Linked DNA regions of Callithrix jacchus. The main gene of each other region encodes a partner of the protein of the gene in region 3 in a complex. Links are inferred from orthologs where the notes say so. Each region holds a gene or a part of one and is shown on either strand. Other genes may lie near its edges. The genes, in order: FCHSD2, AP2A2 and ITSN1.

Region 1 (10,060 bases), on a different chromosome or scaffold from region 3:
ATGCTGGCGACCCGTGGGGCTCCTTCGCTGGGAATCTCCTGGTCTGTGAGCAAAAAAAATTCATCTGAAAGTGTGGCGTCCTCTAGTTCTGTGAGCTTTCACTGGGAGGTACAATCCTGAGCTGCTAGTAATCAGCCATCTTGGATCTCTCTCCTGGAGCATAACTCTGTCACTCAGGCTGGAGTGCTGTGGCACGATCTCAGCTCACTGCAACCTCCACCTCCCAGGTTCAAGCAAATCTCAGCCTCCCAAGCAGCTAGAGTAGCTAGGAGTATAGGTGTGCACCACCACACCCAGTTGATTTTCATATTTTTAATAGAGATGGGGTTTCATCATGTTGGCCAGGCTAGTCTCAAACTCCTGACTTCAAGTGATCCACCCACCTCGGCCTCCCAAAGTGCTGGGATAACCAGGCGTGAGCCACCATAGGAGGCCAGCCTCCTGATAATATATCATACTTTTTGATAGGCAAAATATTTTTTACAACTGGACAAGTTCCTTGGTTAAAAGCTTGGGAAACACAGATACAGGGGAGAGTGCAGTAGAATGGAAATCAGGACAAATAGCTTAGGTCCTCACCAATATAATTCACCTCATTTCACTGTGCCTCAGTTTCCACTTTCATCTATAAAAAGAACAAACATGATAATATCCAACTGACTAAAATTCAGTAATTTTCCCATATTAGATAATGACCTCCTTAAAATGTCTTCTAAGAAGATAGTTCTTTATATTCGGGATCACTGCAAAAAACTTCTTAACTGACTCTACTCAGCATAGCATATGATAAACAATCCTAAAAAGAAAAGTATACAGGCTCTAGTATGTAGAAACATTGTAAGTGGTCTTAAAAAGCAAAGAGAAAGAAATATAATAAACTAAAAAGAAAGTAAACTGTACTTGTCCACGGCTGACAGCAAAAGTCAACAGGAAACACATCAGCATAAAACCTCCTCAAAGTATGGAATGTCCCTGATTAACAACAAATTAGCTGTCTTTTCATCTCATACTTCACTCCCAACATACTAGCTTCCAAATGCATCCACAGAACAAATGAACTGAAGAAGGGGAGGAGAACAAAGGAGAAAAACTGTATCATAATTGGTCTCCTCCCCTCAAAATTCTGTAACATAAGAACTGGTGGGTTGCAGCAGTAGTGCAGCTCACTCCTGTAATCCCAGCACTTTAGGTAGGAGGATCACTTGAGTCCAAGAGTTCAAGACCAGCCTGCACAACAAACAGAAATCTGGTCTCTACAGAATTTTTAAAATAAGTCAGGCATGGTGGCACGTGTCTATAGTCCTAGGTACTCGGGAGGCTGAGGCAGAAGGATTGCCTGAACCCAGGAGGAAAAGGACACAGTGAGCTAAGATCACACCACAGCATTCCAGCCTGAGTGACAAAGCAATACCCTGTCTCTTAAGAAAAAAAAAAAAGGAAAACAAAAAAGAAGAGACGTAAGAGGGAAGAAATAGACAAAATTCAGCATAATATTCTATTTACAGTCTAATGTGCTGTGGATTTTTTTTTTTTACCTTTTCAATGTCATAAAAAACTTCTGACATTTTTTCAAGTGGGGCACAGTGGCCTGATGTTAGGATTGCTTGAGCCCAGAAGTTTAAGACCAGCCTGAGTAACACGGTGACACCTCATCTCCACAAGAAATACAAAAATTAGCCACATACCTATAGTCTCAGTTACCCTAGAGGATGAGATGGGAGAATCACTTGAGCCCAAGAGGAGAGGTTACAGTGAGCAGAGATCGCACCACTGCATTCCAGCCTGAGGAACAGAGTGAAACTCTACCTCAAATTTAAAAACAACAAAAAAAACTCTACTACTAATTTTAAGACTAAAAAGGTATTTGCACTTTTCTGAGTGAATTCATACTAATTCAAATTGACCATAAAACTGGCAGGGGGCACTGGTGAGAAGGAGCACTCTATGTGGGATTTCAGGAAGGAGAATATAGGAGTCTAAAAAGAAGAAAAGCAAGCAAAATCTGTTACAACTTAATTCATATAAAAACCCAAGTTCAGGCCAGGCACGGTGGCTCACACCTGTAATCCTAGCACTTTGGGAGGCTGAAGGGGCGGACAGACCACTTGAGGTCAGAAGTTCGAAACCAGCCTGGCCAAAGTGGTGAAACCCCGTTTCTACTAAAAACACACAAAACATTAGCTGGGCATGGTGGCTCATGTCTGTACTCCCAGCTAGTAGGGAGACTGAGGCAGGTGAATTGTTTGAACTCAGGAGGCGGAGGTTGAAGTGAGCTGAGATTGCGCCACTGCACTCCAGCCTGGCTGACAGAGTAAGACTTTGTCTCAAAAACAAACAAAAAACACCTAAGTTCAGAGATTTTCAATGAATTTTTAAAAGATCATTTCATCTGCTAGGGCAGACAAGAGAAGCCAGATCACCTCCCTCCTCAGGCAACTGAAGTTATCATGAATACCAAGAGGAGGCAAGTTTCAACTTTTTCAATATCGTCACTGAAAAAAAAAAAAAAAGCAAATCAGAAACCTAAACTCATGTTTTAGCAGGTAATAAAGTATCCAATTCACAACTCAAAGTAAAAGGATTACTTCCTTTAATTTAATATAAACAGAACACAATGACTCCTTTAAAAAAAAAAAAAAACCTGTTAATCCTTGAGCACCAACAATCTCCACCTTTACATATTATATACTCTACAACAAACAGGATGTGTATTTAAAGTGCTCAAATGAACCAAAGTATATAACACAAGCTCTACAGAGGACCCTATAGCCCCCTACAGAGTTTGCACAGTATCTCACCTAAGAAAAAATAAGATACATTTAAATATAGCCAGTTACATTCATTTGACCGGCTAACCAAAGGGTATAAAGAAAATGAGCAATACTTGGCCCATAACCCCAAAGACTTCACATGAGGGAGGATGCCAGAGCATATGCAAAATCAAAATCCTTTGAGATCACAAAGAACAAGGAAATTGCAGTTACTGGTAACCAAGAATGTGCCAAGTGAAAAAGTGGGAGGAAGGTACCACCAGACAAAGACAACAGCACACACAAAACCATGAATGTAGAGTGCACAACTGGACAACCTGATCTCCCAAGTGACCAGAGCAGGCGGAAGAAAGAGGAAGGATGCATGGGCATGGAATGGTAGTAAATTAAGCCAGGAAAAGAAGCTTGCAGATGGGTTGCAGAGAACCATATATACTATAACAAGGTGTTCGGCCTCTATCCAGCAGGCCACAGAGGAATAATCTATAATAATGTTTTTTGTTTGTTCAAGACAGAGTCATGCTCTGTCACCCCAGCTAGAGTGCAGTGGTGGGAATCTCAGTTCACTGCAACCTCCACCTCCCAGCTTGAAGCAATTCTCCTACCTCAGCCTCCCAAGTAGTTGTGATTACAAGTACCCACCACTGTGCCCAGCTAATTCTTGTATTTTTAGTAGAGACAGGGTTTCACCATCTTGGCCAGGCTGGTCTCCAACTGCTAACCTTGTGATCCACCTGCCTCAGGCTCCCAAAGTGCTGGAAATACAGGCATGAGCCACCACACCTGGCCTACAGTTATGTTTTTAGGAAGCTAACTGGTAGCAATGTGGAAGACATATTTAAAAGGAGAGATGGGAGATGGAAGGCATAAGGACACTACTGCAATAATTAGGATACTACTATAATGCAAGCAAAATGTGATGGATCATCAATAATACAAACTAAGCAACAACAGCAGGAACAACAGACTTCATCAACTTAGCTTAGATGTGTGCCACATCTCACATGCATTGTCATTTATCTATACAACCTTGAGGAACAGAGCCCATATTGCCCCATTTTACAAATGAAGAAACTTAAGTTTACAAAGATTAATTCATTTTCCACAAGTCAGCACAGATATTAAGACACAAAGGACTCTCTGACTCCAATGTCCATATCCTTAACCATAAGCTCCTGCACCAAGCTACAAATAGGGAGAAAATGGAGACAAAATGCAATCAAGAAATCTTTAGAAGATACAATCAACAGGAATTATTATAACCATTGACTGCCCATACCCCACACAGGTTCTTCCCTTACACACTAATTCTGCCTTCCTGAACTGCTTCTGAAAATTTAATATTTTCTTCATCTAGAATTTTCTTACTTCCCTTAATATGTTAAAAAACCTTCCATTTTTAACCGTATCAAGAGTTTCAGATATCTCACAAAGGAATTTTTTTTTTTTCTTTTTTTGAGACAAGGTCTCACTTTGTTGCCCAGCCTGGAGTGCAGTGGCACCATCTCAGCTCATTGCAACTTCCTCCTCCTGGGTTCAAGCAATTCTCCTACCTCAGCCTGCAGTGTAGCTGGGACTACAGGCATGTATCACCAAGCCTGGCTAATTTTTGCATTTTTAGTATAGACAGGGGTTTCACTATGTTGGCCAGGCTGGTCTCGAACTCCTAACCTCAGGTGATCTGCCTGCCTCAGCTTCACAAAGGGCTGGGATTACAGGCGTGAGCCACTGTGCACAACCTCGATTAGGAATTTTGAAGTCTAAATATTTTTTATGGTCATAATAATGAGGGGGAAGACAAAGAATTGAAATTATAATTTTCAGTTTCAGGAAACAACAATCTTGATATATCCAGCTTGGATGAGTAGATTTACATGTCTTAGTCAGAAACCCTGAAGACAGGTATACTGCAAAAATGCTTATAGTGCCTTAGTTAAGTATAGGAGAGGAAAAAAGGAAATTCTTAAAACTAAAATCTTTGGGCTACGAACACCAATCCAAACACATAATTCTATCATAACACCATAGAGTTAATATTTTTCATGAAACCAACATGAAGTCAGTGTACCACCAGAAAAATAGGATGAGGCTTACACACCCAATTCCAATTTGATAAATGTATTACTAAGGGGAAATACAAATTGCAGCCACTCTTATTTCAACAAGGAAATCATCTTCCACCCTTGACGAAAATCTTTGAACCGTCAGTCTGCATTACAAAACTGTTAAATAGGTGGCATTTCTTTCATTAAAATAAGTCATCTGTCCCTCTGGTAAAAACAATACTGATTTTCATAATGTTAGCAAGATGTCTTAGCTATTCAAAGTCATCTTGACTATGAATGAGTAACCTCAATAATATAGTAAAATATGATAAACACACCTCTCACTAAATTTGGCACTCAAAGATAAAGTTGTATTTGTCATATTCTAACCCAAAGAGAGCATATAATCATCTGGGATTGACTGGCTCACCCCCAGATATTAACCATTAACCACAGGTGTTGGTTTAAAATCTAACTGGTTAAACTGTTAAGGTCAATAAAATGATTGTTACAACTCCCAGGAAAGATTATTTAAACAAAATCTTTAATTATTATAATTTGACTAATGAGACTTAATTTAAGGTCCTTGTTTTTTCCCCAATACCATGTATGCATTACAGGTTTCCCCACTGAAGGAAAAAGTTTGTATTGTGTTAGTTCCAGTTCTAATTTCCAGCTGAGTCAAAGTTCTAACAGACTTAAAGCAGGAAATCCAAAAGGAAATTCCATCATCAGTTCCTGGGGTTTGGTAACTCAAAGGTTCTTTGAAACAGAGAAATAGAAGTCCTTGAACTATTTACTATAACCTTACCTCATATCTTCAAGCAAATCACATTCTGCTTGATGTTTGGCTTGAAGTTTTGTCATCTGCTCAGCTTGAATGTTTTTCAGTTCTTGTGTAACTTTCACCTAAAATGTACCATATATTTATTAAGGTCTTTTTACACATTTAACCCAAAAAAATTGCTTAAGGAAAATACATCTGTCAGAATATATGTCTCTTGGTCGCCTCTCCCCTGAAGACCATAAATCCATTCATTATTCGCCATCTAGTTTTAGTTATTGAAGATACTTATTTAATGAAAAATTAAAGCCAAATAGCCTGAACAAAAGTTGAATGAAAATACACGACTATAAATATTACAAACTAAAGACGTGCAAAATAAACTGCCAGTCATTCCATTTCATGCACAAGCTCAGTCTATGTCTAGGTCTTCCTAGAGTTTTAAAAGAGCCTGTCTTCTATTTCAAAAAAAAAGGATTCAAAGACATTAACCACCAGGAGAGGTGAGCAGAGTGTGGATGGGGATTGGGAGCCTAAGAATGCCTAATATTTAATGACCAATATTTACACGATCATGATAATATGCATGAATCGACTACAAAAATAACTCCATAATGGCTGCGAAAAAGCACACTGTCTCAGAACGATGCCCTCGACTTGCAGACAGCGCATCAAATCACAATCTCTTTCTCACAAAGGAGAAAGCAAAAGTGACCTTCCAGCATTTGCAGTGCTTTTAAACTACCCCGGCAAGCCGGTCCCCGTGGAGGCTCCACTTCAAACAGCGAGAACAGCAAATGCCTGCTGGCCAGAGAGCCTCGCCCACCCGCCCTCCAGGCCGGAACCCCAGGGTTTGAAGTTATGGTCGGTCTGGAATCGCGGCCTTAGAAGCAGGACCACCAGGATGGGTGGGGGTACATATTGGAAAGAAAGACTCACTTAAATGGAGAAACCCGGATTAGGAAAGAGAGAAAGCAGCGACAGCAGACACGGGTGAGTTAGGCGTTAGGCAAATGTTTGCCCACGAGGGGAGGACAGAACGGCCTCATCCACCCAGTGCCCAGAGTAGATATTTAGTATCCATCTGTAGGATTAAAAAGACAAGGACACAGCCTCGGCCCCTGGGAAACCTGAGGAAGGGCACAATGGGGAGGCTGCTGACAAGCCGGGTGCACCCGTCACTCCCACCCTGGCCACCCAAGCTTGGATTGCAGTGCACACGCCACGCACCTCCAGGGCCGGGTCCTCGCTTTTCATTAGACAGCACGACAGCCTCCTCGCCCCTCAGCCGAGGGCGAGGCAGGACCCGTCAATCCTTAAATTTGTTTTCCCTTGGGTTGGGGAGGCGGTGACTATTCCAACTTCTTTTCGGCCGCCCCGTGGGAAAAGCAGGCCAAACCCTAAGGCTAGGCTAGAAACAAAACCCCCGCAAATTTGCAAATGGGCGGGGCTGGCGACAAGCGACTGGGGGGCTCAAAGCTGGTGCAGACTAAACAATCATACACGCACAAGGCTCTGCAAAGCTGCAGGGGCGTCCCCGCCTCCCCCACGGTGCAGCCCCAAGAATGCACTTTGCAGCGCACAGCATTGCCAAGCGCGCACACACAAACGCACACCCGAAACTCTTGTGAAATGTCTAGGGGTCTCCAGCGTAGAGGAGGGACTAGCCCCCACCGCCCCTCTGTCGGAAAGGACCTCACACGCCGGCCCTCCGCCTGGAGCCGAAGGCAAGTCGGTGACAAGCCCAAGGCGAGGGCGGTCACGGCCCCTTGCGGAAGGGCAAGGGGGCGCAGCGGTCGCCCCTGCCGCGTTCCCCATACGCATCCCCCACCTCGAACCCCAAAGCCCCCAAGCTGCGCCCTTACCTTCCTCGGCGGCGGCTGCATGATGCTGAAGGGACATCAACCCTCCCCGACGGCAGCGTTAGCAAGAACCTGGAGGAGGAGGGCCAGAGAGGAAGGGATAGCCCAGCGAGCGCGCGTGTGTGAAGAAGAGCCTAAGAAACAGGACTTGCCCCGGAGAGAGCAGGCCGGCGGGCGGCAGGAGGACCCCGGCCAGAGAGCGAGTGTGAGAAGAAGGGGGAGGAGCGCCGGGAAGGCCTGGGGCCCGGACTGCCCGGGGGTGTGTGAGTAAGGAGGCGGAGATGGCGAGGGGGCGGGGGCCCGGGAGCGGGGGCACGAGGGTCTCGGCCGGCCGGGTGGCGGGTGAGCCGCAGCCGCGTTGTCCGCGCTCCCGGTCCGCCACCGGCGCCGCAGCTCCGGGCGGACGCAGCGGCCCTCACCCCACCCACTCAGGCGGCCCGGCCCTCACTGGGCCTAACGCCCCCGCCCGCCGGGGAGGAGGAAGGTGGCGCCGCGCTCCCCGCTAGGGCTCCACCACTCTAGCCGCGGGAATTTCCGGCCTCGCCGCGCGGCGCAGCGCCCCGCTTCGGTGGCGAAGGGAACCGCTTCGTCCAGAGCGGGGTTCGAGGGGCAGGCCCGGGCTGCCGGGAGGGAGAGAAGACACGGCACGGGACTTCGTACCGCAGGGGGCATGGGGGGAACTAACGGATTGGTCGGTGGCTGGGAGGTGTAAAAACGCCAGCGCCACGCGAAAATCCCCCCTTTCTCTCTGAGAGTGGCACGTTCCAGACGCCTCCTGGCCTCCCTCCCCGACGCTGGGAGCCAGCCCGGGGCTTCCCGCGCGCTTTCCCGCCAGCTCGCCGCGGCGCGCGCCTCAGTTCGGGGGCGCGCATGTGGGCGGGAGAGAGCTCCGCGCCGACGCACGCGCACAGGCCACCCCCGTCTTCCGTCTGCCTCTGCGGCTGTAGTGTGTGTGTGTGTGTGTGTGTGTGTGTGTGTGTGTGTGTGTGTGTGTGTGTAAGGGGTGGGGGGCGACGCTCGCGGGTAAATGTTTGCAGTGGGGAGGGGGTTAGCATGCCTATGGGATACCAGAATTCCGGCTTTTGCTTCGTCTCAGTCCCTCAACACCCTCTCTCCCTACCAGCTAGATGTGCGCGAGGGGGGCGAGCGAGGACAAGTCGCTTTGCGGCTGGCCGCAGGTGCTAGGCCGTTGCGATTATAGGGCGGAAAGGCGCCCTGCAAAGGAAGCAGAGGCTCTCTACTGCAGGGCATTCAAGTCAAAGATCACGGACTTAGCTGAGAGGGAGTCGAGAGAACATTAAGGCCAAGGCCCCCATTTCACAGACGGGGAGGCAAGAGCCCTTAGAGGGAAGCCTTTCTGAAGGTCACACAGCAGGACTAGAATTTCCACGGCAGGAAGGTTCTATGGGTTATTTTAAAACAGAAACGTGCAAGATAATAAGCACGAGGAAAAGTAGAGGAGGCAGGAGGGGCCATAGAGGAAGCCCTTGTCTGGGAGTCAGGATCTCTGGGTGCCGGTTCACTTTGCCTACCCCTTAACAGGCTAGGCGAGCTCGGGCTCCCTTATCTGCCAGTGAGGGCCCCCTAAGAAGGCCCCACCACCACCACACACACCTTATCTAAGTAGGGCCCCCCACCACCACACACACCTTCCTGCTCTGTCCAGACCATCTACGAGGAGGGTTATCGGCCTCCCTTGGAGTCCTCAGAAGAGGATTACCTCTTCCCCATGCCCAGGGAGTTTTTTGAGTCCCGGGGCTGTGTGGAGACTGAGCTGGATTGCTTGACTGTTTTTTCAGAAGTTGAGCCCCCAGACAGCTGTTCTCAGAAGTGCAGTCCAGCCAAAGAGGAAGGCAATGAGGCCTAGAGAGACCCAAGTAACTTGCCAGATGACCACAAGGCCAGAAATTGAAAAGGTGGAACTTGAACCCAGGTTGTTTACAGTGAGTTAGGCTAGATTCTTGTACAGAAAAGTGATAGAGTCAGAGCTGTGTTTTGAGTCAGACTAATCTAGAGCTGTGTATGAACTAGGAGACTAGTCTTGCTATTTCTGCCTTCAAAGGTTAGCACTTCTACCTGAATTGAAACTTAGAATTGAAAAAAAGTATTAAAAAAAAAAAAGATAGCCCTTCACCAGAATCCTTAATTAAGTCAGGGAAGGCCTGGGGCAAGGGAACAGGTGGATGCAGACCCAAGGTCCTGATAGCTGTGGGGCAGCAGCTAGAGCCCAGGCCACAGGTAGCCTAGCCTGGGCTCTAGGCTCCACACCAATTTATTGTGAAGCCTTGTGCTAGTCAATTCACTTATTTCAGCCTTGTTTCCTCACTTGTAAAATGGAGGTATAATGCTGGCCTCAGGCTTGCTGTATGAAATAGAATTTCTCCAACCTCAGGGCCTGGCATGTAGTGCTTAATAAGTGCTTATTGATTCATCATTCATTCAAAAAATTCTTGCTAAGGAACTGCTTTGTTACCAGCCTGTGCAAGCACTGGGGTTCTAGAGCTAAGCAAGATAGAATCAGCTTTCACCAAGACTGAGGTCCAGACCAACACAGGGCTAGTGGACGAGAGGTAACAGTAGTTGGCCCAGATGCAGTGT
Region 2 (9,960 bases), on a different chromosome or scaffold from region 3:
AGCAGCTGAGGTCACTCATCACACTTGTTTTACTCCCCACAGCAGGAGCCGGCTCAGGATTGCCGCTCATTGCATAGAAGGGCGAGAGCAGACACCGGGCTGACGAATGCCCGGGACCTCAAAATCTGCACAACAGCACTCAGACGCACACTGCTTCTGTCTGCTCAGAACACTCAGGAGGATCAGGAATGAGGCTCCTGTGACAGCCGTCCCCAGAGCCAGCCCGACACCACCACAGGTGCCAAGACCAGGACACACTGCCCCAGCCAGGCCAGAGAGGGACCCCTGGCCATAGTCAACAAGTACCTGCCTGGCCACTCCACAAACAGGACCCACTCAGCCCTGCCCTACACCAAACCCACCCCATGGGCCCTGCCCTTGGGAGTCAGCCCACCCGTCCCATCCCCCTCACCCTCCCAGGCCCACTGTCCTGGAGGTGGGCAGTCCAGCGGGAGAGCCGCCTCCTGGCCCCTGCTCTCTGTAGGTGCAGCGCCTCACTGAAGCTCAGTCTGTGGTCATTTCACCCTCAGCACCCAGCCCCTCCGTTCACTCAAAGATCCCTGAAAACCTCAGAGTCTCACCTGGGCATGACCACACACAGCTGCCCAGGGCAACCCTGTCACCTGCCACCAACTCCAACCCTGGCTCTTGGCAAAGCTCCCAAGGAGGCCTCAAGCTGCACTTTGCCCAAAAAGACAAATAACAAAGCACTTCCTATACAACAGAGGCGGTGTCTCAGCCTCAACCAGAGGCTGTGGTCCCGGCTGGCGACAGCCGCCAGCCTCCCACAAGGACACACGGGCCCCCCCTTAAACCCCACCATCCACAGACACAGTGAGCCTGAGAGGCCTGTGAGCATGGGAGAGGCCTCAGGCCCTCTGCTCTGCTGACCATGTGGCCTCCACAAGGGTTTCTGCCCTCAGGTTTTCAGTCATGCTCAGCCTTCCGCCATCTGGCAGGCGTGCACACCTACTTTGTGATAAAAACAATGCGGGAAACAAAGCTATGGCCTAGATCACACCCCTCCAAAGATCAAGAGACACACACACAAAAGCCAAGCCACGAAGGGTTAATTCAGGGGCTCGAATGCAACACAGTTAAGAAGAATTCTGCCCAGAGAAGTCTAGATTTGTGCAGCCCAGCACAGTCGGTGCAGCCTCACTAAGACCCGGGGCTGCAGTGCCACCACCAAAAGGACAGGCAGGCCAGAGAAGCCGCACAGGGCAGCATTTTAGTTACCTTCCAGACCAAATGACTCCACCAAAAATGCTAACTTTTTTAAGACAGGGTCTCGCCGTGCTGCCCAGCCTGGAGTGCAATGACATGATCTCAGCTCACTGCAGCCTCAACCTCCTGGCCTCAGGTGATCCTCCCGCCTCAGCCTCTGTAAGCTGGGACCACGCCCAGCTTGAAAGTGTGAACTAAAACAGAGGCAGAGGAGCCTTGTATCCAGCATCTCACGGGTTCTCAGCCAAGCCCTGCCGGACAGAATCGCAGAGCACTAAGGAAATCCTGCAGTGAGATTCGCGTCTGCGGCAGGAGAGGACTCAGAGGCCAGCAGAACTCACAATCTCTTCTCGAATGGAGTAGTCGGCCGTCTCCAGATAGCTCAGCATCTCGGCCACGATCTGTGGGGCATTGCTGCGGTCGCACATAGCGTAGAGGAGGTCCACGGCCCGCTGCCGCACGCTCACGTCCCGCTCGGTCTGGGGAACAAGGCACAGAGTAAGAGGCCACAGGAGCAAGGCCCAGGCTTGGGGACCAGCTGGGGGACAGGCCCAGCACCGCGTCTCAATGCCCACTCTGAGCTTCTCTCACACACACATCCAGGTCCAGGCAATGGGCTCCAGCCATGCACAGTCCTCCCTCCCCAACGCACCGGCCCCTCCCACTCCCTGCACTGGGGCACGTGGGTCTGGACAGCCCAGAATCGAGCCCAGTGCCCTCGTTGCCTCCTCCCTCCGCACAAGCCAGCTACATTAGGACGGAGCACACAGCCTGGTGCGGGCCATCAAGGCCTCTCCTCCGTGTGGCCGAAGACCCCACTGCCTCTGGCACTGCCATGGAGCTGTCCCAGGTTCTCATATCCCACCCCAGAGCCTGAGCTGATGAGCCCCCCAGAGGCTCTACAGCATGAGAAAGCCTGAGGCCTGCACAGCTCTGCTACCAGCAAAGGACAGGGGAGTGGCCACCAGCAGCCCTAATGCTGGCCGTGTGCAAATGAGTGTCAGCCTTTCTGACAGCAGGGAGTGAGTAAAACACACACCGTCCAAGACCAAGAAGAATCCAGAAGACCAAATGCCACCACAAGCCCTTGTATGCCAGCCGGGACACCCATGAGCCACACGCAGACACACAGGGGCAGTGGGAGCAGCCCAGCCACAGCCCAAGGCTGGCTCAGACAGGGAATGTGGTGGACACACCTCAGGCGACCTCACATGGCGCAAACCCTCAGGGGCTGCTCTGGAGACTCACAAAGGCTGACAACAGACAACCTCAACTGGGCTCTTCCAACTCTGAAATTTTAATCCTCGAAAAAAGTGAGTTTCCTTTGCAAAAGGGGGGTTTTCTTGGAGGTAAGGTAAAAAAACTTAATCCTTCTACCAAGAAGAACCATTTCTACTTGTCAGGACTGTGCACGTGCAGGACGGCACAAGGGGGCCTGCCCATGGCAGGGAGAGGGCTGCCGTGGATGCCACACTCAGCCTAGCCAGGAGGCAGCACGGCCCTGAACAGTGGTGCGCCCGCCTGACAGCAGGTGCCAGGCGGAGGCCAGCAGCACCAACACCACGTCCATCTCTGCGGGGAGCCAGGAAGCAGTGCGTCCCCCAGCCTTCAGGGGAAGACCCATGGCACCTGCGCAGGGAGTGAGCAGACCCCGAGGACAGGGACTCGCCTTCAGGGCATTGATGACTGTCTCGATGTGCGTCTTGACGGCCTCGTGGGAGAACTCAGAGCTGGCCAGCGTGCACATGCTCTCCAGGGCCAGGTAGCGCAGGTTGGTTTCCCGGTGCTGCAGGAACTGGCCCAGCTGGTTGCAGGCGCGGACGAGCAGGTTCGGCTCACTGTGTGGAGGGAGAGGAAGTGGGGGGAGTTTCCTCAACACACACAACACAAACTGGACAGAACCCACATTCCCTGACGGGTCCAGATGGCAGACAGCAAAGTCACACCACACTCCCCGCCACCATGCTGCTCAGGTGGGAATCCAGGGGCCTCCCTGAATGTAGACGCTTGACCCCTACCCCTGACATCTGTGTTGCGTCCATTCTGTGCCTCCCCACAGTGAGAGTCACAGCCCGTGTGTCTGCCGGAGGCTTCCCAGCATCTCCTGCGCCTCAATCTGTGTCAGGCCTGCGGGAGGCCAGTCAAGCTGTGACCCCCAATGGCCTGTCAGCCAGAGGCACCAGCCCAGGGCAGAGAGAAGGTTGAGGAGGTGGGGAGCGTGGCTGCCACCCCGACCCTACTGTCTCCTCAGGATGTGGCTTCTCCTCATGTAACAACAGAGCTTTCTCTAAAACGGGAAATTTCAGTTTTAGCAGCTCCCAATTCTGAAGCATGACTCTCGGACTGCGTTTTCATCATGGGAAACTACATTTGTAAAAAGGCTACAATAGCCGATGGGTGGTGCCCACTAGCTGTAGAGAGCCTCTGCCCACAGCCTGGCATGTTCCCTGGTGATCAGGAGCCTGCTGGGAGCTGCCATCTCATTCTCACAGGACCCTAAAGCAAGTCTCCAGCACTGCCCTAGCACCCTGGACCCACCAAGTGCAGCTTCACGCCCAGCAAAGCCACAGGACACGTCTGCGCACACCTCCCGCCCTCCCCGTCTCCTCTCTGCTCCATCACACGAGAGGCCCATCAGGAGTGGGGATGCTCGGGGAAGGAGGAGAAGGCCCCTGTCGGGGATGAGACCATGGTCAGCTAAGCAATCCACAGTGAGCTCAGAGCAGGAGGGGCTGGCTGCAGAGAAAGAAGAAAGGAGTCAGGCAGGGAGCACACGGGCAGGATGAAGAAGAGGCCTGTGGACCGCATAAACTAGGCGTGATCCGCCCAGTCTCGTGCCAGTGAGAAGGAGCATGTGCGCGTGCACAAGGTGAAGGCGCCTCCGCAGACGGCCGACCCACCTGTCGTGGTGAATGATTAAGCTGATGGCCTCGAAGAGCACGGCGTTCTTGGCGTTGGAGTGCTGCACCTTCTTCGACTTGGGCGGTTCCTGGGCTTTGTTCAGGATGGTCTCCAGGCACTCCGTCAGGCGGCCTCGAACTGCGGGGTCTTCTGGGCAAGACAGAACGGTGCTCACCAGGCTCCCGTGGCCCGTAGCCCACCCCACCCCACCCTCCCACTGCACCCACGTATTGTGAGAGCATTTTTAATATTCACTCACATTTGTGTCCCCAGCTAGGAGCATTTACAAAACTGAAAAAGGCCGGGCACGGTGGCTCACACCTGTAATCCCAGCACTTTGGGAGGCTGAGGTGGCCAGATCACCTGAGGTCAGGAGTTCAAGACCAGCCTGGCCAACATGGTGAAACCCCATCTCTACAAAAATGCAAAAATTAGCCAGGCATGATGGCAGGTGCCTGTGATCTCAGCTACTCAGGAGGCTGAGGTGGTAGAATCACTTGAACCCTGGAGGCAAAGGTTGCAGTGAACTGAGATCACGCCAGCCTGGGCAAGAGAGGGACACTCCATCTCAAAAAGAAAGAAAACCTACTGCACAGATCTGATACTATCAAAGCACAAACAGACGCAAGCCCTAACAAAAGTATAGGCTCTGCAGTAACTCCATGAAAGCCAGGGCGCACGGCAGCACCAGCAGCAAGGCCCACGAATCAGGAGGCGGGGTCGGTAACACACTTCTTAAAGTCATCAACAAGCCACTTGAATCTGAGATAGGGAATCAGCTGGTGCAGCTTCAGGAGCCTCCGCCCGCGCATTACCTGGGGGTGGGTAGCACTGCAGCAGCCTCAGCAGTTTGACAGACAGCCAGGGAGCCGGGACAAAATAGTAAGTGTAATCCTGAAGATCTGTTGACGCGGACGTCACGATCTGTAAGAGCACAGGCAATGAGACACGACGCCCAGCACGAGTCCCCACTGCGGGAACCCAAGGAAAAGCCACATTCACTCCTCCAGTCAGGCCTGAGCTGGAAAAACGGTTTTGTTTCACACGCCAGGAGCGTCTGACACTGCTTGGGACCCCTCGGGGTCACTGTGAGAGGCGGCACACACGCCGCACAGCTGAATGGCAGCCCGAACTCAGTACAAGATACCACAGCACGTGGATTTGAATCTCCAGTCTTTCCTTTGTGCACTGGAACATGAATGAAACTTGGGCCGGTGCGGTGGCTCACGCCTGTAATCCCAGCTCTTTGGGAGGCCGAGGTGGGTGGATCACCAGGTCAAGAGATGGAGACCATCCTGGCCAACATGGTGAAACCTCGTCTCTACTAAAAATACAAAAATTAGCTGGATGTGGTGGTGCACGCCTGTAGTCCCAGCTACTCAGGAGGCTGAGGCAGGAGAACTGCTTGAACCCAGGAGGCGGAGGTTGCAGTGAGCTGAGATTGTGCCATTGCACTCCAGCCTGGAGCCTGGCGACGGACTGACATTCTATCTCAAAAAAAAAAAAAAAGAAAACTCAAGAGAGAGAGCACGCAAGGCATCTCAGAAGGAAGAAGTATACCCCCAAGAAGCTGGCACCCTGACCCAACCCCACAGCCCCTGGTCCCCCACAGGCCGCCCAGGCGCTGAGCTCGAGGAGGCATCTGCCCGCCTCACTCACATCCCATCTCTCTGTCCAACGTGGCCCTTGGCTTGGCAGATCCTCCATCAACCTCTTGAACAAACGACTATCACTACAACGTCCATCCATTTCCACTGACAGCCCGGTGACTCCTGCTTCCAGGAGGTCAGGGTAGTTCCTCCCTTCCTACAAAGCTCACATGTGAGACACTTTTAGGCTTTAGGTGAACCTATCCAGAAAAGTTCACCCTGACTCCTGCCCTAAGCTGAAATACACCATTCCAGACGGGGGTCACAGACACCTGCTGCAGGGAGGTGAGCTCTAGGCTTCCTGTCAAAGAGAGGGCTGAAAGGCACAAATGCAAAGCAGAAAAGGCAAGAATCACAGCACTTACGTGACAGAGACACAGCCAGTGGGAGCCGTCCCTCAAACACGTATGCAGCTAAAGCCAGGCTCACAGAAAAACGTATAGCCTTAAATGTACATATTTGAAACAAATATAAAGAGAAAGGCAACAAAAATTCATCTCAACCCAAAGGAAAGGAGGCTGGGAGCGGTGGCTCACGCCTGTCATCCCAGCACTTTGGGAGGCTGAGGCAGGCAGATCACCTGAGGTCAGGAGTTCAAGACCCAGCCTGGCCAACATGGCGAAACCTTGTCTCTACTAAAAATACAAAAATTAGCTAGACACGGTGGGGGGCGGGGGGGCGCCTGTAATCCCATCTATTTGGGAGGCTGAGGCAGGAGAATCACTTGAACCCAGGTGGAGATTGCAGTGAGACAAGATTATGATACTGCACTCCAGGCTGGGTAATGAGCAAGACACTGACTCAAAGAAAGAGAAAAAGAGGAAGAAAATATGCACATTTCTCCACTTATAAAGTAAACTGAATTCATAATCAGAAAGTTTCCCACAAAGAAAACTCCAGATTCAAACGGTTTTACCAGCTAATGATAGAAACTTTGGCAAACAGAGAAAGGAACTTCTCTGACGTGATCAAGCGTGCCAGCAACACAACATTCTAGAGCAGACGTCACACTCACAAAGACAAGACGACCCAGGGCAAAAATGGGTAAGAGTCTCAGGCCCGGCACAAAACAAGATACCCAAACAGCCAATCAACATGCAAAGGTCCTCAACCTCACTGATAATCAGGAAAAGGCAGATTTAAATCACAAGGAAGCAGACTGCGATGGTGACACCTGCAATCCTAGCAGTTGGGAGGCCAAGACAGGCGGACTGCCTGAGGTCAGGACTTTGAGGCCAGCCTGGCCAACATGGTGAAACCTCATCTCTACTAAAAATACAAAAATCAGCCGGGCGTGATGCTGCAGCCTATAATCCCAGCTACTCAAGAGGCTGAGGCGGAAGAATCTCTTGAACCCGGGAGGCCGAGACTGCACCACTGCACTCTAGCCTGGGCATCAGAGCGAAACTCTATGTCAAGAAAACAAAACAAAACAAAAATCCCAAGGGGCTAACACTAGCACGTGCTGTGCCCACGCCTCCTACTGCTGGGAAGGCCAGGCAGACCACACGGGAGGCTGGTCTGGCACCACCTGTCTCCTCAGGTTCAGGAGCTGCAGCCCCTAACTGAGCCACACCACATCTCAACAGACGCCCACAGCATCTCGTGTGCATGGAAACCAAGGGACAGCCAAGACTGCTCACGCTAGAGGGGACACAGTAGCCCCAGAGGACAAGGAGCTAAGTGTTCAACAGGACAGAGGTCAACTGCAGGGGTCAGTTCACACAACCGATTCTATGCAGCATCAGAAATGAACGTGTAACCGCTGCACACAAAACAAACACTTCACAACGTTGAACAAAACAAGAATGTGCGCTGCAGGTCCACCTACAAAAAACCCAAACACACAGCTCAACAGCAGGCGTCAGCGCACACGCCAGCCGGTGGGTCCCAAGGCAGAGCCAGCAGCGCCTGCCCGCGGGGGACACGGGCCCTGGGTGCCACCCCTCCTCCCGAGTGGTACTGGGTGCTCGCTCACACGACAGGAACAGGGAACTGGGCTCCGCACAGACGGAACAGCTCTGAATTAAGAAGAAGGTTGAAAGAGAAGCCAAGTGGGTTTTCACCCCGAATTTACAAACAGACCCCATGCCTTGTATTCTAAAAGTAAGCTAATAAATGAATGAGACAAAACCCACCCTCACTTATGCTCCCCCAGACAGACTTACTCTGCTTAGCCTAGAGACGGCCAGAGACACGGAGGTTTTAAACTCCTCTGGGTTCTTCTGTGCTAAAGTGGTGATCAGACTCGTGGCTGCAGTCACCACACCCTGAAAGAAAACGCACACACACAACAGTCAAAACACTGGAAGCTACACGCTCGTGTTAACTCATCTTCCAAACAAAACCTGAAGCCTACCAGCAACATGCCAGCAGCCCACGGCCACTTTGGCCTACTTGGAGAGACCGACAGCGTAGGTTTTCTTTGCCAGCCTCTCCTTAAAAGCTGGGAAACTCAGTTATGCTCAGCCCAGATCCCACCAGTGTGAAGAGCCAGAGGGCGGCGCTCGGCCACGCAGGTCAAGCCTGGGGCTGCACACGTGCTGCCCTCTCCTGGCCTGGCCTCCACTGTCGCCTGCACTCGTGCCTCTGATCTAATCATTCCAAGTTCACTGCAGCAGGAGACACCACCTTTAGACTGATTTAAATCTTTACAACCCAGAAGTGAGACCGCAGAAAAAAGCAGCTGAAGAAGTCCTTTTCCATTCTCCTTTTTGGAAAGTGGTCCTGGCAGTCACTGAACCACAGTCTGGATGAGGCCACCAGGCCCAGCACCCAAGTCCTCCCTCCATGCTATTCTGGCTCACTGAGAACAGATTCAGACCCCAGGGCACAAGGGGTCCTCCCCAAAGCACCAGGCAGCCCGTTACTGTCCCAGCACAAGCACTAGGGATTCAGTCACTCGCACCTCTTGAAAGAAGACTTTAGTTACACAAAGACGTTCTCCCACAAATACTTTAAATAAACGATACCTATTCACTCTGAAAAGGCAAACAGCTCAGGAAATGTCTACTTGCGCCAGCACAGTGGCTCACACCTGTAATCCCAGCACTTTGGGAGGCCAAGGCAGGTGGATCACCTGAGGTCAGGAGTTTAAGACCAGCCTGACCAACATGGAGAAACCCCGTCTCTACAAAAATACAAAATTAGCTGGGTGTGGTGGCAGGTGCCTGTAATCCCAGCTACCTGGGAGGCCAAGGCAGGAGAACTGCTGGAACCTGGGAGGTGGAGGTTGCAGTGAGCCGAGATTGCACCATCGCACTACAGCCTGGGCAACAAAATCGAAACTCAGTTTCAAAAAAAAACAATTAGCTGGGCATGGTGGTGCTCACCTGTAATCCCAGCTACTCAGGAAACCAAGGCAGGAGAATCCTCCTTGAACCCAGGAGGCAGAGGCTGGAGTGAACTGAGATCCCACCACTGCACTCCAGCCTGTACCACAGAATGAGACTCTGTCTCAAAAATAAAAAAGGAAACGTCTACTTGCAGGACGCATGCAATCCCCCCACCCCTCGCCCCACGTCTACCTGGACACACGCGATCCCCCCACCCCTCGCCCCACATCTACCTGGACACACGCAATCCCCCCACCCCTCGCCCCACGTCTACCTGGACACACGAAATCCCCCCACCCCTCACCCCACATCTACCTGGACACATGCAATCCCCCCACCCCTCACCCCGTGTCTACCTGAATGTATGCAATCCCCCCACCCCTCAACCCGCATCTACCTGAATGTATGCAATCCCCCCACCCCTCAACCCGCATCTACCTGAATGTATGCAATCCCCCCACCCCTCAACCCGCATCTACCTGAATGTATGCAATCCCCCCACCCCTCACCCCACACCCACCTGGACACACGAAATCCCCCCACCCCTCACCCCACATCTACCTGGACACATGCAATCCCCCCACCCCTCACCCCGTGTCTACCTGAATGTATGCAATCCCCCCACCCCTCAACCCGCATCTACCTGAATGTATGCAATCCCCCCACCCCTCACCCCGCATCTACCTGAATGTATGCAATCCCCCCACCCCTCACCCCGCATCTACCTGAATGTATGCAATCCCCCCACCCCTCAACCCGCATCTACCTGAATGTATGCAATCCCCCCACCCCTCACCCCGCATCTACCTGAATGTATGCAATCCCCCCATCCCTCACCCCGCATCTAC
Region 3 (9,960 bases):
TTGCACCAACCCAATGCAATTAAGCTTGGAATGCCACTAAGGCAGGCCCATCCGAGCTGGCTCTCAGCTTCTTGGAAGGTGTCCTGGACCAGGATGGGGACTCCCTAAATGAACAGTACATTAACTATTAAGATGTTTCTGAGCGATCACAACCCAGAGATGGATTGTCTAGTGTGCTGGTGTCTGGGTTTTAAGGCTCCCAAGACAGACAGCTGTTACATGTTTTCTTTCATGTGGACTAAGCTCCCACGCCCATCAGGAACTGATTTTTTTCCTCTGGCTGCTGCTGATATGAAGTTATGTATCTTAGTGGATCTTGATGACCTGCAGACATATCCTGGATCTGATACAGCGCAGGGTGAGGAAACAGGAGTTCTAGAACTTTCCTTTCCTCTAGCTCAAATAAACAACTGCTTTCCAAGTACCAAGAAGCAAGATCCTTACTCAGAAAGAGGAAGCTGTAGGGTGTTATTAAGTTGACCAGCCAATTACTTCCTCGGAGTCAGATCCAGCAAGAAGAGGTCTGCATTCGTTCTTTTTTTTTTTTTTTGAGAAGGAGTCTCTCTCTGTCACTCAGGCTGGAGTGTAGTGGCACCATCTCAGCTCACTGCCACCTCCGCCTCCTGAGTTCGAGCAATTCTCCTGCATCAGCGGGAGTAGCTGGGATTACAGGTGCCTGTCACCATGCCCAGCTAATTTTTCTATTTTTAATAGAGATGGTGTTTTGCCACGTTGGCCAGGCTGGTCTCGAACTCCTGACCTCAGTTAATCCACCTGCTTTGGCCTTCCAAAGTGTTGGGATTACAGGCGTGAGCCTCCATGCCTGGCTGGTCTGCATTATTTCTTTGAAGAACCCCGCACAAAGCAATGGTTATCGATCGGGACCATTCAAAATAGAATAAAAATATCCAAGGGCTTGAGGGAAATATTCCCTCTAGAAGGCGGGCCCTGGGCTACTTCACAGGAAGTACAAGCCACTGTAACAAGGAGAGCAGGGACTGAGCCATGTCTTTATCGGAGACCAGGCTGGCAGGCACATGGGAGTGGCAGGGGGTGCGAACTGCAAACGGGCCTAAGGCTGCTTCTCCTGGAATGGGCTGACCTGAGGGGCCCCTAGAAGGAAGAAGTTGCAGGGAATACATTCCTTGGTCCCCAGGATGGCTCTAATCAGGCTCCTCTTAAGCTTGTAACATTACTGGGCAGAAGAGCTTGAGGGAGCTGCCCCCTGAGGGGCAGCTGTGCGTTCTTTGCACCCTCAGTTTTTCTGCTGCTTTACAGTATCACCTCCTGAGTGCAGCCTGATGGACAAGGAAAGCCCACCTTCCTATAGAAGGGGCCCAGGCAGGTAGGCAATTACACTGTAGCTGGGGATAAAAGAAAGAAAAGAAAATGGCCCTATTTTATCAAACATTGAACATCCTTAAAAGGAACGGAGGGTCTGTGTGCAGGAGGCCACTAGATCCATGTTTTGGTTCCTGTGTGGCAATTCCTGACCCTACCTCACCAGTGCAGGTTAGGGCTGTTCTAGGAAAGCACCTGCCACTTATACTTAATACAAGCCTGTTTCTGCCCCTGAGATCTGCCCAGAACAAAGGCTGCCCATCAATCCTCATCTGAGCTCCGCCTTCCCAGAAGTGGATTCGTCTTCTGTGTCATTTGAACGAATGAACTGGAAACAAAGAAAAACACAAGCATTTGGTCTCACTGGGCCACTCCAAGGAAAAAGAGGGAATGAACATCGTAACTAGACACTAAGCAGCCCGTGGGCCATTCCTGGAAAGTCTCTAGCAGGCATTTCAGCACCCTAGGGTGCAAAGAGAAGGAGGTGTTAGTTTTCCCTGATGCCTCTTCTGGTGGCTCAGACTACACTATCTGAGGACTCGTCACGCCACTGGTTTCTAGGGCTACAGGTCATGCTTCTGCCTGGTGTGAGCTTAAGCTCTTCTATCTAGAAACAAGACAAAGCCATCCAGGTGCATTTGTTTTCATCCCACCTTCCAGCATAGGATGCTCTAAACTTGCAAACAAGCTATCTGGACCAAGCAGACCCATTGCTAATTGCACACTCACCTCAAGCCCAAAAGGACCCTGTTATATCCGAAGGACACCAGATGTTCATGTAAAAGTGCTAGTGTCTCCTATGAAGCACATCACTAACCTTGAAGAGGAGCGGAGAACTTAGCAATCAAATCAAACCAAATCAGATCAAATCATATTTTATGTTTCCAACAGAAATTCTTAAAGTCTTCACACATACAAAACACAATTTCTTCTTATCTATCAAAAAGGCCCAATCAACTAGAAAAAAAACAACTTGTAGGAGATAGAGAAGTCTTTTTCTGCCTAAACAAAGTACTGGCCTTTTCCAAAATATACTCCAGGAGCCCCTCCTTTCCAGTAAAGTCAGAAGTGCCTTGTCCATTTTTCCCTTTATCTTCAGCCGCATCGGATTCTAGAACATCCTCGTTCTGTGTGGTCAGTGGCCTTACACTTGTCCTAGCCAGCTGCTGGAGAGACAGCCGGCCTGCTCAGCCTTGGAAGGCAGACCTGCATTTGTCCTTCCCTGCTGGTGCTAGCACCTGACTCCTCTGCCACCCCAGAATACACCCATGGAGGACAAGGTCACCGAGATAAGACACAATGTGGGTGGTCAGTTTACTCATTTTCTGATGGGATTTCTTTTCCCCAGTTAAATTCAGGTCTGCTCTAGATGAAATCAGTTACTTTCATACACTTAGGCCATACTTTAGGTTGTTTAAAGAGCAAAGAAGAAAAAAAAATGCCTTCTCTTACATGAATGTTCTTTGGGCACAGAGTTTTTTCCTCTGCTGTCAGAGGACAGGGACATGTTAACCAAACAAACAAGGAAATCTGGCTCTAGTTTCTCAAGCATTCCTGGTGACCTGCACCTAGAAAGGTCCCTCTTTCCACATTAGGCCAGGCCTGGATCTGAATGAACCACATCTTCAGGCTGTAATGATCACAGTGAACCTGGTTCCAGGAGACGATGCTGTCCCTCTACCTGCCAGGATGATGCCAGCAGCCAGAGGCCCTGCCCCAGAGGGACTGGGATGTGAACTCTCCCTTCTAGAGAGCTGCTGAAGAAGGCTCAGCCCAAAAGGTCCCGGGGTAGTTCAGTTCTCGGGGATGACTGAGGGTCGCTGGGTAACCCTATGACCAGGACAGCCCCTTTGTGGGCTGAAGGAAATCAGCGTCCGCGGGAGGAGCTAGCAGTGTAGTTCACAGCAGAGGGGCACTTAAAGGGTGTTTAAAAGGCTGGAATCAGGATGCCAGGATGCAGTGGCCTAGAGAACTCCTATATCTAGAAAACAGAGCTAGGAGACAGACTCCTTGTTGGCAAGGGGCATTTAATTTCTAGGAAATATAGCCCAGATGATCAAGAAGGTAGAGGTGAAGGAACAGTGGGACCCGAGGGTTTGAGACTCCATGCATCACCCATGTTCCTCAATCCCCTTGACACAACTCAACCGCATGTCATGAATCACAGCTGGATCCGAGGGCCAGCCAGACTCATCCATAAGCACGACTGGTCACATGACAAAGAACACCAGTAAATACAAGGACACGGATCCAGAACTTGCTGCACAGCAGGAGCTTCTCAACAATGCTCAACAGAGTCACTTGAGGAAAAAGAGTCACATAATGCTTTCTCATGCTACATTAATTCCAATAATAGGATACTAGGAGTGGGTGACCTGGGACCTAAAAGGATTGTTTGTCATTGTGCATACCACACGCTACCTACACGAACAATGATGACCAACACTAACACGCAAATAAAGTCAATGAAGAAAAGACCGAACAGAAAACAAGAAGAGATTGGAATGGAGACCCACACTGCCCCATTTACACATACTTTTTTTTTCTGTCATGGTAACATGTCTTTCATAAATACACTGAACAAACTGTATTGGTTAGAGAGATAGGAAAGCATGAGTTGCATGTCTGTTTATAGATTTAAAAGTTTCTTAACAACATCAAAAAATATAAACAAAGTATCTTAACCATGTTTTCTGCTGGGAAATGGTAAACAAATGCATGCCTGAAGTTTAATTTGGTCTCTAATATGTTCAGTTGGAAGTTTCTAACTAAAGGGTATATCTGCTTGTTTCAAAAAATACGTATGTCTGTTGTTCTTGATACAAAATTCTACGCTATCTTCAATAAATAAATAATAAGGATTTCTTTAAAGTATGAAATGTAAACTTTGTTGTCCTTTCCAACACACACTTTTAAAACATTGCTTGAAATATGACCGGGCTGTCATGGGAAATTATAACACTACACATTCAGTTCCCAGCAGAGGGGGTACTCTGCCACGAAGCTGATGCTATCACTTGGAAAGCACTTTTACAACCCTATTTAAAGTCTAAGGACCGACAATCAAAGAGAAGACCGTCTACTGCAGGAAAGCTAGACTCCAGTACCTACAGAACATGCAAAGAACATTTCATGACCACAACAAACTAGGGTTATGAGAACATGAACATGCAAACAAGATACGGCCCCCACCTTTCATTAGCAAATCAAGTCACTATCTAACTAACCAGACTATCTCCTGGCATTTAAGGGAAAAAAAAATTAAACAACTCAAACCAAACAGCTTGGCACATGGTCATACACTCCTGCCTCTCGCAACAAGCACATTGCTGCGAGGCTGGGGTGGATGGGGTGGAGGGTGGGAAAGTGTCTTAGGTCTTCGTCCCAGGATGTGTGGGGCTTGCATGCTCCTAGGGTCTTTCCCCCACCACATAATGGATTGCCATCATTTTCTTCCCCAACCTCTAGCTTGACATTTTCCCTTTTCACGCCTTGGGGATCTAGGACATGGCTTCTGGGGAACGTACCAAAGACAGCTGTTGAAATTTCCCACCACAGTCAGGATTCAGCACATTCACGCACAGAACTCCTGCTGCATGAAATATCACAGGACCTCCAAGCCAAAAGGGATTTTTTCCAACATGGCTGCCGACCGAGACAGTTGTCAAGTTGCCTTTCTGGTGACCTGCAGTGACCTGATCCAGCACAGGGTGACTTTCTAGATAATGACTTTCTGTGACCATATTCCAAGCATGCTGGCAATCAGAACTAAATCCACGCAACAATGCACCGGTGTGTTTTCATTGACATATATTAATACAAGGTCTAGAGGGGAAGGAACGGCTATAATGGCGCACATACTGGAAACTTCCATAGACCAGCTCTTGAAAGAGCTAAGCCAGGGCCTGATCAGACCGCCTCACCGAGTGATCAGCTCCAGGCAGCATTTCCCAGTGGGAGAGATGGGATTCTGAAGCAATGACAGGACCGTCATCAGTTTCTAAACGCACACCAAGGACTGGGCATCGTAGGCCAAGAAGTCTACTTGGGGACTGGTGGATGTAAGAAATAGGAGGGTTATGTGAGTTCTCCAAAAATATAGACATTGCATTTATAAATCTATTTTATAGTAACCAGACCATCCCTCAAGCCTGGGAAGGGGCTAGATTCCCAACTGCACTCTTTTGAGACCTATGGGATTTCAGCGACCCTAGAAGCCATAATGAGATCTGGAGTGAGGACAAAGGAAAACACAGCTGAGTTTCATAAAACAGGAAATTATTTTGGGGCAGGGAGGATTGTCGAGAATTATTCCTAGGAGCTTTGAGGGTCCTGTCTTTGCCGTCCCATATCCCTGTGACTGAACACCAGATGGTGGTTTCTTAGAAAAGGAACACTATTTTCAGACAGTATGTGCTGCCGTGGGCTGGGACCCTGCTGAGCACATCGAGCCCGCTACCTATGGTTCATCGAACAACTGCAGGTCCAAGCGGACCACAATCTCTCCCGTGGGGACTTCGTGCAGCAGAAGACACTTCGTAACGGGACCCTTGGAGCCCTGGTCTTTCTTGATGTCCGCCACGCGGATCTCCGTCCGGCCCAAAAAATCTGAAAAGAGAACAAACAGACGCAGCTAAGAGGGACCGTTCCCCCTCTTCAAGGCATGTGTCTGTCATATTGGGACCTCCTGATGAACTGCCACAACCTCCCTTCTTCTCTGGGCTCTGACGTAAACCTAGGATTTCCAACTCACCCCCCAGCCGAGTGGGGTGACTTAAAGCCCCTGTTACTAAATCTATACCAAATAAATAGGAAGAGGGTGAACTACTCAGCACCGTGTAGCTGTGATCTCTCTCTGTGAGTGGCTCACAACCCCTTGGCCCATTCATTCACTGGAAATTTGTGTCTGAGTGCATGTATTCATCCATCGTGCAGCTGGGGTCTGTGAGACAGACTCCAGCAACAGGGTCTTGCTTTGTCACCTGGGCTGGAGTGTAGTGGCATCACTGCACTACTGCCACTACAGCTGCACTGATGCTCACTGCAGCCTCGACCTCCCAGGCTCAAGCGATCCTCCTGCCTCAGCCTCCCAAGTAGCTGGATCTACAAGTGCATGCCGCCATGCCTGGCTAAGTTTTGTATTTTTTGTAGAGACAAGGTCCCATTATGTTGCCCAGGCTGGTCTTAGACTCCTGGGCTCAAGCGATCCTCCTGCCTCAGTCTCCCAAAGTGTTGGGATTCCAGGCCTGTACCACCATGCCCAGTGGTGATTTTTATTGGGTTGAGGGAGAGACAGGTAGTTTCTTGGAATCATGGGGCCAAGACTATTCTTTTCCCAGCCCAAGCAGAAAGAGAAGGCTGGTTGAAGAAATGATTCATCCAACACGACTGCATCCGTTTGCCTACTTAACTGCCACAGAAATGCCACCCAAAGGGACCTGGCCGATTCTGAGGCTACTGCTGTGGGCTAACATTCTTGTTCCATTAGCCAGTTTCAAACATTGCCAGCACAGCTTTTTTGCCAAGGACTGAAGAACTATGCTGAGGCTCTTAAATACACCCGTCTCCAGAGTCACTTGCTTTAGAAAGCAGAAGATGGTAGTGTTTGCCCAGGGCAGCTGGCACAGTTCTAGACCAAGCATGCTCTGTCCACATGTGATGAAACGCCTCCAGAAGACACCTCCAGGGGAGACGGAGCCTCGTCTTGTGCCAGCCAGCCTCATCTCTTGGGAGGGAAACCCCAGGAATCCTGGCACCAAGTCCCCAGGTAAGAAAACATGAACCCACACAAACTAGCACCAGGGAAGAAGGAATCACCTCAGGGCCGCATTCTACTCACCATCTGGTGAAAACTGGTCCCTCTCAAACACAGTGATGCAGAGGACTTCCTGCTCCAGGTCTCGGATGAAAAACTGGCAGTTGGAGTTCCACTTGGGGTTTAGAGTGTCCTGGATTGTCTTAGTGATGTGGCATTGGGAACCCATGGTCACCTCGCAGTATGGGTTGCTCTTCCCTGGAGGGAACAAAAGCCTTTACCAGGTGGAAATCACACCTCATTTTGATCCCCACTCTTTTTTTTCTTTTTTTTTAGATGGAGTCTTGATCTGTCGCCCAGGCTGGAGTGCAGTGGTACGATCTCAGCTCACCACAGCCTCCACCTCCTGGGCTCAAGTGATTCTCCTGCCTCATCCTCCTGAATAGCTAGCATTGTAGATGCCTGCCACCACGCCCGGCTAAGTTTTCTTTTTCTTTTTAGTAGAGACAGAGTTTTGCCATGTTCGCCAGGCTGGTCTTGAACTCCTGGCCTCAGGTGATCTGCCTGCCTTGGCCTTCCTAAGTGCTGGGATTACAGGTGTGAGCCACCACGCCCAGCCAGCACCCCTCTTAATAACTACCACGCTTAATAAGTGGCAGATATTTCACCTGGATTTCAATGGAGACTCCAGGTGAAAACCCCCAGAAGTCAGGTTCATCCTTAAACTAAGCTCAAATAATTAATTACTTGAGTGGGCTTTGAAACTAGGCCCTTCCTGTCTCCTCACTTTGGCCTTATTCTGTGTCACAGCCACTGTGAATGCCGCCACTCAGATCCCTTGGAGAAACAGAACGGTAGGAAGGATTTTAAAAAACAAAAAACCTCCAGGTTTTTAACAAGTGCTAGTTAAACCAATTCGGGAAGGAGATGGGGAGTATGGAAATAGCACATTCAATTTGGAGCTGGGTGGGGGTGTGGGGAACGCAGACCCAGCTTCCAACCCTAAAGCAGGAGCCTGGACCACCTCAGAGCCTTACCATGTGACCGACAGGGTTTCAGCTCAATGCCTTCGACCACGTTCACCATCAACCTTCCAATGCCTGTTGCCCTCTGGGAACGGACTATGATGGCAGGAAAAACGCAAAACGCTTCATTTGAACATACAATGCCTTTCCCATGTCTGCGAGCCTCACGATTCATGTCATGGACCTCTCCCTACTCAAAAGTAATTCTCCCCTCCTCTCCTTAAACTCTGGCTTCCTTGCTCCTGGCATTTGCCCTCCATCCCCCGTTCGCATCTCACCCCAAGCTCTCTTTCATCCCATCTCACGCCCCTCCTCTAGGTCCAGGGGAATCTTCTATTTGGAGGATTCTCAGCCCAGCCAAATGGCCCTCCCTCCTGCCCAGCTGTGTGGGACACCCCACAGGGCCATGCATTACCCAGGTACGCTTTCTCGCGCTTCTTTTTCTCAGTCTCTATGTAGAGTTCAGAAGCAGCTTTGATTTTCTGCACCCAGGCAGTCCTTGGACAGAAAAAGACAGAAAGTTGCCAAACAGAAACTCAGGAAAAGGGCTTCAGGTCTGTTCAAACACTGTTGCCAGGACTCTGTTTTCTTTGTTCATTTGATTTTAACAACAAAGGCTTGGGAAAGAGAATCTGATTTTATGTCACGTGATGCTAATACTTACTCCTGCCGTCAATAGTAAAGGCATGAGGGCCATTTCCATGGATGACCTCAAGACCTGAATTCATGTTCCAGGGGAAGAAAATATGTGATAGATGCCGTCTTGGAGGCCACATCAGGACACAACTCCTCTTCCTTCCTTACTAAAGGCCAGCACATATTTGCCTAACCCAGGCCAGAAGGATCTTGTTTATGAAATCACCCAAAGGAAGAACAAAAGCCACTTCCCAGATTGGGAACCACTTCACATGAAAGAGCAGAATGCCCCGGAGGGAGACATTTGTGGCTGCTGTTTTCTCCTTCATTTTTTCTGAGAACCATATGCACAAAAGCTTTAGCCAATTTTCTTGCTTGGTGCAAATGCTCTTTGGAATGATGCTGGCCTTGTGTCAAGTTCACCCTTCAGAAAATGATCTGTTTCATTTGGCTCCAGGGCAGAGTCTTGAAGACAGATTGAAGCAAAATACCCACAGCCCTAGGTTCCAGAAGCCCTATTTAAGTGAGCCCAGGTGAGGAAGGGTTTGGGGCTGGGTGGTCCTATTAACTCCGAAATCGCTTTCTATTGCTTTCTGCCACCTGGGAAGCCAGGGGAAACGTGAGATGCTCCGTTTACCTCAAAGAATGCTACATGTTTCAAACAGAAAAAAGAAACTGCTGTGTGCAGTGGCTCATGCCTGTAATTCCAGCATCTTGGCATTTTGGGAGGCCAAGGCAGGTGGATCCCTTGAGCCCAGGAGTTTAAGACCAGCCTGAGCAACATGGCGAGACCCCAGCTCCACACACACACACACAAAAAAAAAAATACAAAAAATTAGTCAGGCTTGGTAGCACATGCTACCTGGGGGGCTAGGGTGGGAGGATTACCTGAGCCCAGGAGGTTGAGGCTGCAGTGAGCGGTGACTGTGCCACTGCACTCCAGCCTGGGTGACAAAGTCAGACCCTGCCTTAAAAAAAATAAAATAAAAACAAAACTCAAGCAAAATTAGTTTCAATCCATGTTATTTTGCAAAGTGCATGCCATGTGTCAGATTTTTGAGGGGCCGTAGAAAGAAGTAACAGCCCCATCCCCACTGCCAGCCAGAGGTATGGCGTTGCCGCTTGGGAAACATTGGCACCTGCTATTAATCACATGCCCCTTGTGTCTCCCAGAGCCAGGGGGCCCCGGGGCCCAGTGCTGGG

The links.
Region 1: the proteins of ITSN1 (region 3) and FCHSD2 are in contact, whole or in part, in a crystal structure (PDB 6GBU), measured with the Homo sapiens proteins. The link is inferred for Callithrix jacchus from reciprocal best matches to the Homo sapiens genes ITSN1 and FCHSD2. Residues at the interface, in NP_003015.2 of Homo sapiens: Pro1076, Ile1078, Gly1098, Leu1100, Leu1102, Gln1117, Ala1118, Arg1119, Gly1120, Lys1121, Lys1122, Arg1123, Leu1136, Ser1137, Pro1138; in NP_055639.2 of Homo sapiens: Tyr576, Gln581, Thr582, Asp584, Glu585, Gln602, Asp603, Asp604, Asp605, Gly606, Phe607, Val618, Pro620, Val622, Leu623.
Region 2: the proteins of ITSN1 (region 3) and AP2A2 are in contact, whole or in part, in a crystal structure (PDB 3HS8), measured with the Mus musculus proteins. The link is inferred for Callithrix jacchus from reciprocal best matches to the Homo sapiens genes ITSN1 and AP2A2. Residues at the interface, in NP_034717.2 of Mus musculus: Asn841, Trp843, Ala844, Phe846, Ser847, Ser848; in XP_006536218.1 of Mus musculus: Glu308, Gly320, Val321, Glu324, Gln329, Gly331, Leu332, Lys333, Phe346, Gly348, Asn349, Lys350, Gly386, Ala387, Gln388.

Annotation. Positions count from the first base shown.
Region 1 is NC_133511.1:67,816,778-67,826,837, reverse strand, and holds the start of FCHSD2 (F-BAR and double SH3 domains protein 2), read right to left. Parts: upstream 6,991-10,060; 5' UTR 6,858-6,990; coding exon 6,831-6,857; exon of another isoform or gene 6,328-6,830; intron 5,726-6,327; coding exon 5,628-5,725; intron 1-5,627. Other genes in the region: uncharacterized protein LOC118145596, read left to right, coding at 7,041-7,721. UniProt on the Homo sapiens protein: Adapter protein that plays a role in endocytosis via clathrin-coated pits. Contributes to the internalization of cell surface receptors, such as integrin ITGB1 and transferrin receptor.
Region 2 is NC_133511.1:130,933,699-130,943,658, forward strand, and holds part of AP2A2 (AP-2 complex subunit alpha-2), read right to left. Parts: intron 8,048-9,960; coding exon 7,946-8,047; intron 5,053-7,945; coding exon 4,944-5,052; intron 4,279-4,943; coding exon 4,128-4,278; intron 3,066-4,127; coding exon 2,897-3,065; intron 1,707-2,896; coding exon 1,569-1,706; intron 1-1,568. UniProt on the Homo sapiens protein: Component of the adaptor protein complex 2 (AP-2). Adaptor protein complexes function in protein transport via transport vesicles in different membrane traffic pathways.
Region 3 is NC_133522.1:39,958,369-39,968,328, reverse strand, and holds the end of ITSN1 (intersectin-1), read right to left. Parts: intron 8,620-9,960; coding exon 8,537-8,619; intron 8,218-8,536; coding exon 8,134-8,217; intron 7,355-8,133; coding exon 7,181-7,354; intron 5,950-7,180; coding exon 5,801-5,949; 3' UTR 697-5,800; downstream 1-696. UniProt on the Homo sapiens protein: Adapter protein that provides a link between the endocytic membrane traffic and the actin assembly machinery. Acts as a guanine nucleotide exchange factor (GEF) for CDC42, and thereby stimulates actin nucleation mediated by WASL and the ARP2/3 complex.